Drosophila melanogaster: one gene and its partners. The protein of the gene in region 1 interacts with the protein of each later gene in a biochemical or structural test. Each region holds a gene or a part of one and is shown on either strand. Other genes may lie near its edges.

Evidence for each region. The genes of interacting proteins can lie anywhere in the genome.
Region 2: of the proteins of Slik (region 1) and Moe, one has a biochemical effect on the other in vitro, tested with the Drosophila melanogaster proteins (one study listed by BioGRID).
Region 3: of the proteins of Slik (region 1) and rhea, one has a biochemical effect on the other in vitro, tested with the Drosophila melanogaster proteins (one study listed by BioGRID).

The regions. Positions count from the first base shown.
Region 1 is NT_033778.4:24,399,679-24,404,606, forward strand, and holds the start of Slik (Sterile20-like kinase), read right to left. Parts: upstream 3,003-4,928; 5' UTR 2,883-3,002; intron 2,707-2,882; exon of another isoform or gene 2,157-2,706; intron 2,131-2,156; 5' UTR 1,985-2,130; intron 1,808-1,984; 5' UTR 1,692-1,807; coding exon 1,368-1,691; intron 1,303-1,367; coding exon 1,104-1,302; intron 1,041-1,103; coding exon 730-1,040; intron 663-729; coding exon 522-662; intron 426-521; exon of another isoform or gene 350-425; intron 214-349; coding exon of another isoform or gene 172-213; intron 1-171. Other genes in the region: Rpn8 (regulatory particle non-ATPase 8), read left to right, coding at 3,512-3,686, 3,754-4,595.
Region 2 is NC_004354.4:8,873,106-8,880,363, forward strand, and holds Moe (moesin), read right to left. Parts: upstream 5,621-7,258; 5' UTR 5,433-5,620; coding exon 5,364-5,432; intron 4,057-5,363; exon of another isoform or gene 3,951-4,056; coding exon of another isoform or gene 3,909-3,950; intron 3,648-3,908; coding exon 3,468-3,647; intron 3,333-3,467; coding exon 3,201-3,332; intron 2,955-3,200; coding exon 2,928-2,954; intron 2,917-2,927; exon of another isoform or gene 2,756-2,916; coding exon 1,989-2,755; intron 1,795-1,988; coding exon 1,398-1,794; intron 1,297-1,397; coding exon 1,084-1,296; intron 1,007-1,083; coding exon 842-1,006; 3' UTR 518-841; downstream 1-517. UniProt on the Drosophila melanogaster protein: Involved in connections of major cytoskeletal structures to the plasma membrane. Together with wgn, involved in control of axon targeting of R8 and R2-R5 photoreceptors, independent of egr.
Region 3 is NT_037436.4:8,543,394-8,548,017, reverse strand, and holds the start of rhea (rhea), read right to left. Parts: upstream 3,018-4,624; 5' UTR 2,929-3,017; intron 1,344-2,928; exon of another isoform or gene 1,143-1,343; intron 1-1,142.

The DNA.
Region 1 (4,928 bases):
CAGAGGAGCTAAGTGATAAGCGGCATTTGGCAATGCTGATAAAATAAGTAAACTAATTGTGGGTCCGCTTTTGAAGGACAGTGCCTGGGATGCAGAAACAGAGGAGGGGAGGGGTGCGGGTGCCAGGAACGGACGGAGCACGGACGGCTTGCTGTAGAACGACTTACCAACCCTCTGATAGAGCGAGCGCCGCTTCACTTGGCGTTTAAGCTTCTATATCAATTATTTCCAAGTAACCACATACAAATGATAAGAACAAACATTGCGACATTTTGGCGGAACAAAACAGAACGTAACATAAACGCAAGGCAAAGAATAGTCGAGAAGAAACGAAGATAAACATATAAAATAATGTATCGCGCGGTGCGATTTGGTTGGGTTTTCAGGCGGCAGCGTGTAAGAGAGAAGAAAGAGCAGTTGGAGAGGTGAGAGAACGTAGAAATTATCATCACATCTAGCAGTTGGACTACAAGGGTGCGGTGCTGGGCACAGGGATCCATGGGCTTCCAAGGCGCACTCACCTCGGTCTCATCATCCACCACCTCTTCCACGACCTCGGCCTTGTACTCAAGCAGCAGATCCTTGATAGGCTTGGCATCCAGATTTCTGTTGATGAAAGCGTGCTGCATCAGCACATCCGTCGTGGGCCTCACCTGCGGATCCTGTTCAGAAGGAATACAAAAGTAAAGTTAGAATGGAATGTAAATAACAGATTTTAGGGTTACCCACTTTGACTAAGGACTTCTTCAGGAAGTCGTTAAACTCCTTGCTCCATCGAGAAGGCTGCTCCAGCTTGGGCGGCTCGCTCTTTTGTATTTTCAAGAGCACTCGCATGGGCGACATCTCGCTGTTGGGCGGCTCCATCTGCGCCAGCTCAATGAGCGTGATGCCCAGTGACCAGATGTCCACTTTGTGATCGTACGGGTTGTCCCGGAAAGTTTCGCAAAGCACCAGCTCCGGGGCCATCCAGTAGGGAGTGCCAATGAAGGTGTCGTGCTTTTGCATGGTGTGCTTGTTTTTGGCCGAAACGCCAAAGTCCGCTGAAATGAGTTGATTTCACTTTGAGATCGTCTCGGCTTAGGAAAAGGGCACCGATAACTTACCCAACTTGACGCCACCTTCCATTGTGAGAAGCACGTTTCCTGCCTTCAAATCACGATGGATGACTTTGTTGCGATGCAGGAAGGTGAGACCCTCGGTCATGTGCTTGCAAACATAGGCAATCTGCGGCTCAGTCAGCGGCTTTTCCAGCTCCACCATAATGCTATCCAGGGCCCCTCCGTCGCAGTACTCGATGAGCATCTGAGAGGAATTTCAAGGAATGATTCATAATCCCGATAAAACTTGAAGTACATCGATATACTCACCCACAGCTTATCATCGATGGAAAAGGCCTCATACAGCTCCACTATATTTGGGTGCTTGATCTCCGACAGAATGTCGATCTCGACCATGTGATCGCTAAGGTTCTCCTCGTCCTCCAGCTGACACATTTTTGCGGCAGCAAATCGCTTCTGCTCCTTGTGCTGAGCCTTGTAAACCTTGCCAAAGGCTCCGTCGCCCAGTTCGCCGACCATTTCCCAGAACTCCGCCGGATCCGTGTCCATCTTGATGTTGTTGTACAGGCGCTTCTTCTTGGCCTCACCCCCGCCGAGGTGGAAGACCTTCTTCAGGTTGGTGATAAACGACATGTTGGCTCTCTTGTAGATTTCCCCTGCTTCTGCTGACGATGATGATTTCTTGGGTTGAGTCTACATAGTGAGCTCCTGGGCGAGAGTCCAAGCAGGAAAACTAGATTTGGTGAAAGCTGCGGACATTGGCAAGCGTTTATTGATTGAACGGGCAGGTGTATATCACAGACTTGGCAGGGTTTCAAGTCTAGCTCTAAGTTTCAATCTGAATCTCATTCTGAATCGGAATCCGGGGTGGAACTGCCCCGTTCTAGAACGCAGACCATAGCCCAGATATCGTGGCCTAAACTCACCTTCTTTGCAGCACTCTCTCCTCGGTTCCTTCTCTTTTTTTGTTCAGCGAAATAGGCCAAAAAGCGGGGATTGTGGGCTTGGTTGGCCCGTCTTTAGCGCTTCTGTGTTCTGTATGTTTTATAATTTAATTAGCAGCTAGCGAGCTCTAATATTTGTAGAAAAAACACGTACGAATGGGAGGGAAATGATTACAAACGAGAAAAAGTCAAAGACGTAGACAAAAGAGCGTGCGTGTGTGTGTGTGCGTGTGTCTCTGCTTGCGAGTATTTGTGAGCTGGTCTCTGGGCTTTTAAGCCCCTCTCCCCCTTCAAGACGGACACCCGAACACCTATTTACGCCGAAATTGCAGCGAAACCCGGGATTTACGGATGCCAAAGCTGACTAATTCGTAGAGGCGCCTTCAATTCGCACTGCTCAGCTCGTAATTCGTGAAATTTGTAAACAACACGCGCACTTTTAACTAAATTCAACATCCCATTGATGATTACGGAGCAAGTATAGCGGCGAATGGGCGTGAAACTTGAGGACGCACGCAAACGGAATGGGGTATTACCTCATTCGTACACAGTCACTTTCACGGTTTTCGGCTTTATCTATCACTGCACTATCGCTATTTTGACTGTTTTTGCCGCACACTAAGCCATTTGAAGCGTATTTTACCCCGAAAATGCTTGGAAATTTCTCTCGCGCAAACGCTTCGTGTTGCCACTGAGCTGCAATTGCACCCTGTTTGGCGATCTGGCAGCGCCGGCGAAAAATGGCCGTTTAGGTCATCTGTGCCAGAAGAGAGCAGCACTATTTGCCTTCGCCAAGGGCAAAAACAGAAACAACACACACTTATGCAAACACACACGCAGAGGGGGAAATAATAAGTTAAGTCGGCTGCTGCTTAGTTACTTTGCTTTACAGCTGGTTTTCGGCAGGTGCAGCCTCAGCAAACGTTCTTTTCCGCACTTCCGCTGTCCGATTGCGCACTTTCTAACTGTTTGCACGGCGCTTTTCCTCTCATGATTTTTCCACCAGCATTGTGTGGCCGTTCAACAAAACTCCAAAAATACCAAGGATGGGTGATTTTATACACCAGCAATCCGGTCCTCCTATACCCTTCCCTTTATAACATATAGAACTATTAGGTTTTCTTAACAGCTGTAGAAAATCGATATCAATTCACTACTTTCCAGAACACGACAACTTTATTGTTCTAAAATGTAAGTGTAGGAAAATAATGAATATGTTATATTTAATATGCTGTATTCCGAGTCCGAGTGTGACCAGTTAATCATTTTTAGAAAAGCATGCTTTTGCTTGCCTTGAAATAAATTCAGAAAGCGAGGCGTCGGCCACACTGTAAATCGTTTCTGCTTGTCATTTTGGCCTGAGTTTTTTGCCGCAAATTGCAGGTAATTTAGCGAAAAACAGGAGTCGCAGGAAGCCAAACCCGTCGAAAACAAATCAGTCCGGTACCTATCAATCGGCGCAGAGGTCATAGTAAGCCCCCGAACCGAAAACCCAGAAAAAGCACAAACATGCCGTCGCAGGAGGTGAGCGTAAACAAAGTGATAGTGCATCCATTGGTTCTGCTGTCCGTGGTGGATCACTTCAACCGGATGGGAAAGATTGGCAACCAGAAGCGCGTAGTGGGAGTCCTTCTGGGCTGCTGGCGATCCAAGGGAGTGCTCGATGTGTCCAACAGCTTCGCAGGTTAGTACTGCCTTTGAATATCCAAAGTCGTGGCCATAAAACAAAAGAATTCCCTCCCGACTTCCAGTGCCCTTCGACGAGGATGACAAGGACAAGTCGGTGTGGTTCCTGGACCACGACTACCTGGAGAATATGTACGGCATGTTCAAAAAGGTGAACGCCAGGGAACGGGTTGTGGGATGGTATCACACAGGTCCCAAGCTCCACCAAAACGACATAGCCATCAACGAGCTGGTCCGGCGCTATTGTCCCAACTCCGTGCTGGTCATCATCGACGCCAAGCCCAAGGATTTGGGCCTGCCCACAGAGGCGTACATATCGGTGGAGGAAGTCCATGACGACGGCTCTCCGACCAGCAAAACTTTCGAGCATGTGCCCAGCGAGATTGGCGCCGAGGAGGCGGAGGAGGTGGGCGTGGAGCATCTGCTGCGTGACATCAAGGACACAACCGTGGGCAGCCTGTCGCAAAAGATCACCAACCAGCTCATGGGTCTGAAAGGCCTGAATGCCCAGCTGCGGGACATAAAGCAGTATCTGCAGCGCGTCGGCGACAGCAAGATGCCAATCAACCACCAGATTGTCTACCAGCTGCAGGACATCTTCAACCTGCTGCCCGATATAACCAATGACCAGTTCACGGGCACAATGTATGTGAAGACCAACGACCAAATGCTAGTCGTCTACCTGGCCTCCATGGTGCGCTCGATCATTGCCCTGCACAACCTGATCAACAACAAGCTGGCCAACCGCGACGCCGAGGAGGGCAAGAGCGACAGCAAGGAGGCCAAGGAGAAGAATAAGGATAGCAAGGATAAGGACAACAAGGAGACCAAGGACAAGGACGGCAAGAAGGCGGAGGAGAAGGCCGACAAGGGCAAGGACGAAGGCGGCAAGGGTTCGCGCAAATAGGAGCGGAAGAAAAAGCGCAAACCCCGTCGCAAACGAAAGAAGCAGCGGGCGCAGGACTAGCTGCTGCTTCTTCTGTTCTCCAGGAAGTGGAACTCATCTGCAGACCATACGGCGAGGGTGTGCAGTGGCCTCAGAAATCAAGCATTGCTACCATTCATCGTTCATTTTCCACACGAAATTAAGCTCCCTCTTATTATTTCGCGTAACTAACTAATGGCAAGTTTATGTAATTAAAAATTAAATAATTTAAATACTCCTATTGTTTGCTTTCCTCTAATATTGCTAGAAGCAGCATACCTAGTATTAAAACCGCTCAGGCTTGTGTTTTTGTAT
Region 2 (7,258 bases), on another chromosome or scaffold:
TCTTTCTTTTCTTGCAAAACAAAAATAGATTAAAGAAAAATATTTTATATAATATATTTTTTCTCTTTTTGTTTGTTGCTCTCTCTCAAGTTAATTTAAGAAACAATTAATCAAGTTCTTATTTAATTATACAAATTTAAAAAAAATAGTAATTATATAATAATAAAAATAATAATTATAACGGGGGAAAATGCAAATAGTTGTTTGTTTTGTTGTAGTAGCTGTTCTTGTTGTTGTTGATGTTGTTGTTGTTTATTGTTGCTGATGTTCCTTTTCAATATCTATTACTATTCGTTCCGTTTTCTCAATGAATCCATTGGGAAAAGGAGAAATGTATATTTTCTATTGCTTCTGCTTGGATTTAGACATATTTTCCGATAGCTTGATCCTCATTCATTTGCTGATTGTCCATATAGATGCGGTCCTTCCTAACCGTCTTCTCATTCTATTCATATTGATGAGTGCTGTGTCCGGCTAAATTAGTTTCCATTAATTTATTTTTTCTTTTTTTCTTTTTGCTTATTCTTGATTCTTCTATACAAAAGCTGCGAGACAAAACGACGGTCAAACAAAGTATATTTCATTTCAATTCACTTTAGGAGGCAGGAAGTGTTCTTATGGGTGGAAAAGGGTCGTCGCTGGTGGGATAGTTAGCAATAGGCTTTTGCCAGCGACCGGAATTATATTTGTTGCTTATTCTTCATCATCATCTTCATCATTATCAATCATCATTATTATTATCTGCTCTTGCTGTAGTTATATCTTTTTCTTTTTCTTTCTGGAGTCTCACCGCTCCCTCTCTCTTTCCCGCGCACTATCGATCTCTGATCTTTGATAGCTTTTACATGTTCTCAAACTGATCGACGCGACGCTTTGTGTTGCCCTTACGAATCTCGCGGAGCGTCTTGTACTTGTCACGTCCCTGGCGAACGTTCTCGCGATGAATCTTATCGTTTGCCGTCTCTTTCGTCTCGTCGCGAGACTGCGCCAAATCTTGTTTCAGAGCCTAGATATAGATATATATATATATCAAATTGATATTGTTAGTTGAGTGGAGCATAAGGGACTCGATTTCGAACCCACCTTGAGCTGATCGTGCAAGCGTTCGTTGCGCTCGGCCAGCGTGCGTCTGTCCTCGATGGGGTCCTTGATATGCTCGTCGGTGTCCAGGTCGCGCGACACATCGCCACCGGCATCGCCGTTCGTCAGCTCCTCCTCGTTCTCGTTCTCATCCTCGGCCACGTGGTGATGCTGCGGCGTTGTCGACGCGGCCAGCAGAGCGGCAGCGGCTTCAGCCTACAAAAACGACAATGTTCAGTATAAAGTTGAACACAAAATGGTATCAAGACTATATTCATTGGTTTTTTCGATGCCAACAAATAGTGAAAAAAGTGTACCGCAATGACCTGCTTGCGTCGGGCGTCTTCCACTTCGTCCTGCAGACGCTTTGTCTCCTCATCCTTGGCGTTGACCTCGTCCTGAATGCGCTGCACCTCCATCTGCTTGGCCATGATCTCCTCCTCGAGCTTGAGCTTCTCGACGGCCTCCATATTCTTGGCCTCCTCGAGGCGCTGCAGCATCGCCTGCAGCTCCTTCTGGCGCAGCTCCAGCTCATCCTTGGCGGCCTGCAGCTGCTTCAGCTGCTCCTCCAGCCGGCGGATCATGTCCTGCGCCTCAAGCAGATCGCGCTGCGAACGCTCCATGTCCTCCTGCATCTGCTTTAGCCGATCCTCGTACTCCTGCTGCTTCTTTTCAGCGCGTTCGCGTGCGGCCAGCGCCAGCTGCAGCTTCTCACTGCAAAAACGAAAGAACACCGAAAATAAGAAGGGAATCATCTGCTTGCAGATTATAGCCTGTGCATGAATCAGACTCTCATGGAAATGATATGCTCGAATCATTATGTTTCGGGTCATTGAAACGTTGTATTTCGTTGAAATTCCCAAAGTTTTGATTCATTCAAACAGACATGACTTGAAATCCGTACTAACCGTTCCTGCTGTTTGGCATTCTTCTCCTCGCGCGCCTGCGCCTTCATCTGCTGCACATCGATGGTGTCCGGCTTGCGGCGACGCATGTACAGCTCGTGGTTGCCCATGCAGAGGGCCAGAATGCGCTTGTTGATGCGGACACGTGGCGCAAAGAACATAAAGTCCGGAGCCTTCTTGTCGATCGGCTTGATGATGAACTTCTTCTCCGAGAACGAAATGTTGCGAATCTCGGACCATGGGAAACCAATTTTCGGCGTCAACCTATCGTCCTGCTCGTAAATGTTCAGACCCAGTGCGTCTACGCCCAGCCAAAGATCCGTGCCCTTCTTGTTGCGGATCTCAAAGTAGTTAACGCCGTACATCTCCAGGTCTTGGGCGATCTTCAGATACTCCATCATGGCATCCTCGCGCAGCATGCTGCGATGCTCCTGCCACCAGGTCATAATCGACTGCTCCCACTCGTCCTTGGACATCTTGTGCTGGTCGATGACGCGCTGCGGCAGCAGGCGATCGTTGGCCAGAAAGCCGGCTGTGTGGGTGGTCTTATTGTGGTCACCATGACGCGCCTGGACGGCGTACGAGGCGAGCAGCACGGATGTCTCTGGCGGACAATAGATCTCGTCGGTCAGTATGGCATTCTTCACCTGCAGGTAGAACAGACGCAGTGTAATGTCCTGGATCAGCTCCTCGGCCACATCCTCGGGATAGAATTTGGCACGGAACCTAAACTGCAAGGGATTCTCCTTCTTCACGTCCTGGTTCATCACCTGTGAAAAGCGAAAACATATCACTATTAGATGCGAATGCACGCTAAAGTTTACAAACTGCAAATGGATTTGTATACGAAAAAAAAAAAAACGTTTGGTTTTCCCGATTCAATAATGAAATAATAAACATAATATCATAGATAAAAAAGTGCATGCGGCGTCTGAGTGTTACCCATGTCGAAAACGGCATTGATCCAGTCTGTTTGTTGTTGTGGTGCAGCATTAAATCATATACAGAGATTGCATTTGTATTAGTAAATCAAGTCTCTAACAATCGCTAATTAACTTAAGCTAAGCATTCGAAGGCGAGGCGATACAATACAATTATAGAATTGGCATTTTACAGGATAATTCGGTTTATGTTCTAGCTGGGACTTTTTGTGGATGTACTTTGCTGGATTGGCATATATATATATATATAAATATATTCTCGATCTCTGCCCACCATATCATCGGCGTCGTCATCCTCTTCGCTCGTCTCTAAATGATTTACTCCATTGCTGTCGGCTGTCTTTTTGTCCACATACTTCTTTACACGCTTTAAATATTTTATTGTCTTTATGGCCGGCGATTCGGGCTATATTATGTATGTACCATACATTACATTTATAAATATTATGATGTACATGCAATCTTAGTAAATAATTTAAATTTATATTCTTTTGAACTATAAACTTCAAACTTTATTTGTATGAAATTTATAGTCGCCTACCTTTTTGTACAGCTTGATCCATGTGGAGTCGCCCTTGGAGTCGGTGTACTGGAGTCCAAAGAACCAAACCTCTCGCAGGCCGATCGTCTTCACCACCTGGTCAAACAATTGCTTGCCCGTCGTCGTCGACTGAATGGCGAACTCCAGTTCCGCGTCCATTGTCGTGACGCGCACATTTAGCTGAAATTAGTAAGGGATGTCGTGATATTAAAAAAATATCGTATTAAATGATTAAAATAACGCAAAAATATATATATATATATATATATAAAAGAACAAAGCATTGCCTTTAGAAGGCAAACTAAAAACGAATGAATCAAACAGAATGTTTTATTAATTAAATGTAACTTATTTGTTTCTTTTGCTGCATTTCTTAAGTTAAAAGTGCCATCATCCATGACATGAAAAGCTAACTAGATCAAACTAACTGGGCATGCTCACAAGCCAAATAGAAAAAAAAAAGAGTAAAAAATTGACACCCATCGATGAAGGTGGCGTGCAGAGGAGAATCCCCCACGATTTGTTTAGGGGTCGATGGATTAACGGGATGTGAGCAGGGCACGTGCCAAGAGCTCCCGTTTCGCTTTGGAGGATTGGATTCGATTGCCACGACTTGCATAAGTCGGGCTTTCGACTTAAACGCGCGCACACACACGTTTCAAATGGGTGAAAAATGCTTGAAAAAATGGGGGGAAATGGGGGAAAATGGAGGGCAAAATGGAAAGAGGGAAAATGAAAGCGGGCCGCAGTGAAAAATCACGCTTGGAAAACAGCAAAGCAAAAATCAATCAGGCATGACAATAGCAACAAGCTGGAAATGACCAGGCAGCTCTAGATAGTGGAAATAAGTGGGGGGAAAACACAGGGTGTGGGGTGTGCGTGTGTGTGTGTGTGTGTGTGTATGGGAATATAGACCGGATGGCCAGCGAGTGGTAATCGGTGGTTATACAAGAGAGAGATAGAAAGAGAGAGCTCAGCCGCTATCTATCCCACTGCGCGTGCCACTTGACCAACTTGCAATGTGAAATGGCGGAAAAGCTAGGGAAATTCCACCCACATCGCCACCCAACGTCGGACACACAGCACATGCACATGTCAACCTGTACTAACTACACTACATACCATTGCGCAATCGCCACATTTGGATCAAAGTAAATGCGATCGTAGATCAAAATTGGGGTTAATATGCAGCGCAGACAATAGAGTATATATAACTAACAATTCAGTTCGCTTTTTACAACATGGCCAACAAATGTAAGTCTTACATTAAAAACCATTCGTTTAAAATATTCCTTTACTTTATTGAAATATACAAAGGAATTTTGCTAAATACCTAAATCAGCTACAAATTTTTTTAAACTATTTTATTTCCTATCTGTTAAGATTGATTGAACCAATTTCAGTTTTAAAGGCCCTTTGAAAATCCGCTGGTTTTTGTTACCATTTTCTGGGCATGGGAAAAAACAATGTGTGGTAGACCCAACAAATTAAAATTTTTTAACTTCATCATTTTGTTTGGCTCGGTTTTGCTTTTCAGTCCGAGGGCTCATTGTTTTGTTTTCGCTTTCGGCTGCTGAATGCAAATCAAACGTGACACAATGTTAGGAAATTGAAAACGTTTTTCATTTCAATCCAATTAACGTTTTTGGGTTAATGCAACCACCGTGGTTTCTGCTTTGTTTTTTTCTCCCCCTGGCCGCTGAGAATGAAAAACACAACAGCTATTTGCAACGGAAGTTGGAGCATAATAACCAGTTTTTAAAAAAGAAAAAAAAATGGTTTTTGACTTGAAACCACAAAAGTGCAGCACATGAAAAAAAAAAAAAAGAAAAGGGGGATGCGCTTTTCCAGCTTAGCAGGAAAAACGTGGAAAATAGTGAGCAGTGTGGTCCGTACCGTTTTCCGTTTGACGCTGACTCCGCCGTAACGCGGCAAACGGACGCGGCTGTCGGAGACGACGACCATTTTGGGCACCGAAAACGGATTGCGCAGTAGCTTTTGAATTATTACGCCTTTTCAATGCAAATCTCCGTCTGGGAAATATATATATATTCTTGAGCAGCCACAAGCTACGCGGGAAAACCAACCGACCAACGCGACACGATGGTTAAAAGCGGAAAAGCGACGATTCGATTCTGTTGTCCAGCGGCAACTGAGGAAAATGGAAAAGTCACGGCACGTTTTTAAGTCGCCAAATGGGGAAGACAAGCGCAAAAGGCAAAAGGAAAATAAATGCTAGAAGAGAAGAAAAACAAAAAACAACACTGGGAAAGCGGCGGCGGCGGCAGAACGCAAAAGAAACGCTAAGGGAACACACAACACAACACAAAATGAACTTAATTTCTGCCCAAGAAAATGGGAAAATTTTTATCCCAGTCATTCGTTGTCAAGTTAATATAAATTGCATGTTAATTATGCATCTAAAAGTGGACAGCCGCAACCATAAAGAAAAGAACTGCTGACCATAGAGGTCAAATGGGTTTTCCAGAACGAGAGAAGTATGTGAATGCAATGGGGGTCAAGTAAATAGTGCAATATGGTAAAATATATTTAAAAAATATATATATAAATCAAAACACAACCAATTCTCTAAATGAATTATTGATTGAATTAGCTGTATAGTTAGCTAATTTTTAGTTTGAACACTAGTCATTTGGCCAGCGCTGTGCGCCGAAGAGCACGAGAGAGCGCCGTAGAAACGCAGCCCCAAGGTAGGCAAACAAATCAGCGTCAATCATACGACGCGTTGGCTGTCAATTCTGTTTTATTGATGCCGCTTTTGGGCCTCAAATAGCAATTAAACCCCTCCCCCCTCCCCACTCCGCACTCACATATCAAGCTATTCAAACAGACCAATAAACATCTAGTTATGGATGAGAAAAACTATAGCGAAAAAGGGAAAGTTATGGAGAAACCATTCAAGCACGATGTGCATCGACTACTGCATTGGAACAGAGAAATTTCCCTAAAAGGCAAACGACTTCTTAAAGCTTTGTGCAAAAATCACCTTTCAATCATCCAAATTGTATTATAAAATCACTTCAAATCACGTGTTTGATTGTCATGATGAACTCATAACAAATACATCATTCATTAACAATCAAGTTGAGGCAAAAATGTCATTAGACCATCGCTGGGTGAGATAAGAACTTTTCCGGTTGCCAAAAAAAAAAAAAAAGAAATCACAACATGTCAAAAAGAAATTGGCAAATGCTTTGGTATGAAATAATGATCTACTCATGTGTTCATATCAATGACGTCGTCTTCTAATCCAATTTTTCGCCGTCTGCGTATCTGATGAAATGATGAAATTTTTTTTGGCAAATGTCCAAGAATCAAATACAATTACCAACGTCAACAGTTGGGCCAATATGACGTCTTCGCCTGGCCATCCCCATTCCCCCCCAGAAGAAGTTCTATTAAAAGATGCGATGCGATCCCAACACTCCACAATTGACGACAATTGTAGCTGAAGTGCTCTCTTGATAAGAACACAATTTCCGATAGCTGATAGCTGACAAACTTTTCGTTGTGATTTAATATAACTAATCTTTAATAATTTACTAGGCGCTAGTGCAAAACATTTGTTTTATCAGATTCGTTTGTGGTTTCATTCCAGTGATATATGGTTACCATTATAATGGAATATTTCGAACTTATTATAATACTGTCTAATCAGTACTAATTATTTATTATTTTATAGTTATTGGTTAACTTACCGCTTTTGGAGACATTTTGTTGTTTCGTGTCTTGTCGTACTTATCGAAACGAAATGTTTTCTTTCCAGGATA
Region 3 (4,624 bases), on another chromosome or scaffold:
TGTGAAGTGTACTAATATCTTGGCGGATGCTGAGCGTCCCCACGTCTACGTCCGAAATATTTGGTAGATGTGGAGCCGATGCACTGCCCACACAGTGGAGCATGGAGTGAAAATGAGCTCCGATCTCGATTTCTTTATGTTTCCGAAGCGTGTTTATGTGGCGGGCATTCCAAAACCGAAGCCCACTGCTAATAAGGTCGAAACGCTCGAAAAAGTGAGAGAGACTGAAAATAACAACAGCTTTAAACGAGCGCATTGACATTTCGAGATAATGGATAAATAATATACAAAATACGCCCACAAAATGGAGCGACGGCGAAATTTGCCAAACAATCGGACAAAAAATGTGTAGAAAACAGGACAAAAGCCAGAGAAATTATGACAAAACATCGAAAGACGCGAGATATTTAAATCGGTGAAGAGAAGAGCGAGGAAAGAGCGTAACAAAAAAAAACAATAAATCTACGTACAGATACCAAACAAATCTTAGCGTACGTTGTATCTTAAAGATAAATCGCATTTGTGGAGGAGGGGAGTGGGAGGCCAGCCGCCAGCTGCTAGGCAAGCAAGAAATATAGAATGAAATATCTATATGTTTGTGTACACAGAGAATAATATAGTATTTTTTTGATAAACAGTAATATAAATAATGCAGTACTTCTTGATTACATAATCAAATACTATACATTGTTGTTGAATGGAACCCTTTGCTCAGGTTTATATCCATATACAAATACAAAAAAAAGCATCATCGTGAAAAGCGAATTATGCTAATCTGACTAGTCCTAAGATTTCGCTAGCACGTCATAAGATATAGCCTAGTGATCTATTATAATCCAAATTTTTTCTCTGTGGACCAGCGTAGTCAGGGGCAGACATCAAACGGCAGACGTCGACGCTGGCGCCGGCAGCGCGATGAGGTAATTTTCAGCTTGTTTTCTAAAACGCTCGACATCCGAAATGGGGAAAAGGGTTTTCCGATGGGTTTTTGGCGCGCATCGCGCAGGCGCAACGTGCATTTGGCGTTTGAACTTAGTTACACAATGGAACTGCCTTTTTGTGGCACATATTCCACTCGGAATGGATAAAAATAACACCATATGTCACACACTTATGACCGCGCACTCTCGTCATGTATATACCTTCTTTAATTCCCACAATTGGGCTGGAAACTCTTTTGATATTTGAACTTGAACGATATGCACGATATGCGATATTCATATATGTACGAATCGCCTATACATATATATGGGTAGATATATGTATATATATATATATTTCAATAGCGATATCGGGCGCGGCACAATCGAACGAATTGGCACCGACGACGGACGAAACTCGAATGAGCGGGCCATAGAAGCGAGTGGTTCGCTCGGTTCCATGGGCAGTGTGAGCAGCATGAGCAACAGATGGGAGAGCCGCGAAGAGAGCCACCTGCTGCTAGGCTTCTCTCCTCTCTGATTCTTCCGATTCTCCTGATCGCCGTCTGCAAATGTAAACAAAACAAAAGGTGCCAGCCAGAGGGAGGGCGGTGAAATGAAGGGGCAGCGGAGGAGAAGGTAGTGGCCACAAGGTGATGGACCCGTGCCAGTGGTGACTAATCTTTTGTTGCCCAACTTATGGCTCTTTCTTTCTTCTCAAAAGTGAGCAGAGAGGAAGCGAGAAATTGGAAGAGGAAGTGCGCTTAGTCACATGGGGTTTTCTAAGAAATGGACATTACTCCTGCTTTTCAAGGGCTAAGCTAGTCAAGCGATTGGAGCGTTGTAAGTATTAGTATTTTGAAATGTTTTGGTAATGACGTTTTGTTTTGATGATGTTATATGACCCAAACATTTCTTATCTATAATATCAATGACTCTTTGACGGACTAGATTATTCCCCAAAAGGAATGCTTCTAAACAATCAACAATATTAACGTAATCTTTATGGGTTCAAATCTCTATAGATACTATAATCTAAACAGGACCAGTCTCTTTTTAGGAAAGTATCTGCATTTAAAACTCTTACACAAACAGAATACATGAGAAATTTCAATCTCAGTTGAAATAATTGAATACAACAGTTTCCAAAAACGTGCATAAACAAAGGAGGCAAAATAATAGCCTGTTGACTTCAATTAGGTCCAATTATTGACGCAATTGAGGGCCTGATCCCGGGAAGAGTGAATCTCTATGCCACTGACAGCGGGATGTAGGCACGAGTCTTGTGGGTCCTCGTCTCGGATCTTTGAGGGTTGCAGTTGCACAGCTAACTCCACAATTAACTTGAGAATTGAAGGCAATTGCCAACTCCCGCGAATCCGGCGCTTCTTCTTCTTCTTCTTCAGCAACCGGGGGTTATCTTATCGCGTATGGAATGTACCCCATATACATATACACCATGCTATTCTGCACGCTCATCCAGCTGCTCAGATAAAGCCGTCAAACCAAACCAACTGCTGTGCTGATAATGCGAGGCAGTCGCAGTTGGACTCTCGTTAATTGAATTATATTCGCAGCTTTGGCTAAAAAAAAAATGTTGCACTTTAATTAGCATAAAACGTAGACGATGCTTACAAGCAAACAAACGAACAAACATACAAATGCGGGCGTTCCCTTTTTTTGCCCCCTTTTGTTGTTACACTGGAAACTTGGTTAAAAGGGCGGAATTCGCGTGACCGACAAAAACAAATGTGCGGGACATGTGGGAGAGACCAAAATCCGGACAGTCGGCGCCAACAACTGGGGGTAGGGATAACGATGATGACTCCACCCCGGAGGAGCACCCACTAGGCGGCAACAACAAAATGTGCGAACGAATCGAAATGAGTTCTTGTTGGCCAGGCCGCAGCTGAATCTCCACTGGCTTTGTTTGACGCGTTTTCATGCCGCGGGAAAGGGGCTTTAAACTGATTTGTGCACTTGGGGTTTTAAACATTGGTTAACTTACAGAAACACACGGCGAAAAGGGCTTAAAGAGAGCTAAAATCGAGTAAATAAAACTAACACTTTACAAAATATTCCGTAGTTAAGACAGTGTGACCGTGCGTCAAGCAGCTATCGATAAGTCATTGCGGCTATCGGAACCAATTAGCGTTTGGGTCACATAATTACAAAATAAATAAAAAATATATAAATTTACAAGTTCTAATCATAGTTTGCCTATACTTCTATAATATTTGAAATTACTACGGCAAGCAAAAAGTAGTCTGCACACAGAGCTGTTATGCCAATGGCAGACTGTTAAGTGCAGGGTCACCCCAAATGTAAAGGCATGAGCGCCAAATTTAAAATAAAACCCCCAACTAATGCAGTCTAACTAAAACAAGGCTTAAAGATTAAGCGATTTGTAGTCGAATCCTATAAAAACAACATATCCACATGATTAATGAAGGTTACAAGCCCCACCAAAGCGCACCCCCACACAAACTTGATAAATTTGTCTGGCTTTCCTGAATTTTCTCCGAGACGATCATCGTTTCCGTTTTGATTTCGGCGATTGGAGGGCAACCAAGTGTGCAACTTACAACCCTCAGAAAATAGACGAGCAATCTAAGGGCCGAAAAACAAAAACTAGCCAAAATCATAAAAATAAGCAAGCGAATTCATGACTTCGCCAAAGTCAACGGACCGCACATAGCGCGCGTCTTTGGGGGCCCTTTCACTGGGGTTGCTTTCCCTATAAGGCAGCGAAATAAAAATAAATTTAATGTTCCTGTTTTTTTCCCTTCTCCTTTCTCGACTTGTCAAGGATATCATATGCGCGAATACATGGGTATATGTGTACGCGTAATTTATGCTGCAAAACATCTCGAGCATAAACAGGAAACAAGCGTCCACGGTCCTTCTTTCGCAACACTCTTAAAAAATGAGAAGTAATTAAAGACAAGTTGCAAAATTATCAAAGGGGGGGATAAACATTCCTTTTGCTACTATCAAACTTGAATTTAATTATTGGAAATTTCAAGAGAAACATTTTAAAGCGAACTTTCAGAAAACCTTCATACATAAAACACTATATTCTTCATATAAAAATTTCTCTCTGTGCACAATGCCCGCCCCTGCGCGCTTGAGAAATTTCTTGAAACGAAGTCAAGTTCGTGGCTTGGGCGCAAATTCAATTAATTTCAATCGAACGCCTGTCGTTCTGGGCATCCGGCATTGGGCATTGGGCATTGAGCATTGATGTCCCGCGATTCGAGGCCTGCCAAACCGATACGCAGATAGAAGATGCAGGATGTGCAGATATGGACTCACCCCTCGGGCCGATAAATCTCGGAACTGGCACACTCGCTTTACACACACGCCCGTTATGACTGCTGGCCAAGGAGGAGCAAGCGAAATGGATGAGCAGAACGCATCGACATGTGTCCTGGTGCTCCTGCTGCGTCATTGCTTTAGTTCCGGTTGAGTTTGTGCCAGCGCTCGCCAAGATTTATGTCACTTTGTTGGCCCAACAAAGAGGCCAGGGAGTTTGGTTTTCGGTAATGGCAAATAAAAACCCGATTCGCAAATCCTTTCCTCGAGTGACCCACTTGGGATTTGGGACTTGGGACTGACCAGCAGCGAGGAGCAACGCTAATTGAGCGATCTTCCGGCTGGCTAATGGGTTAAACCGGCCAAGCCGAATGCCCATATATCATGTG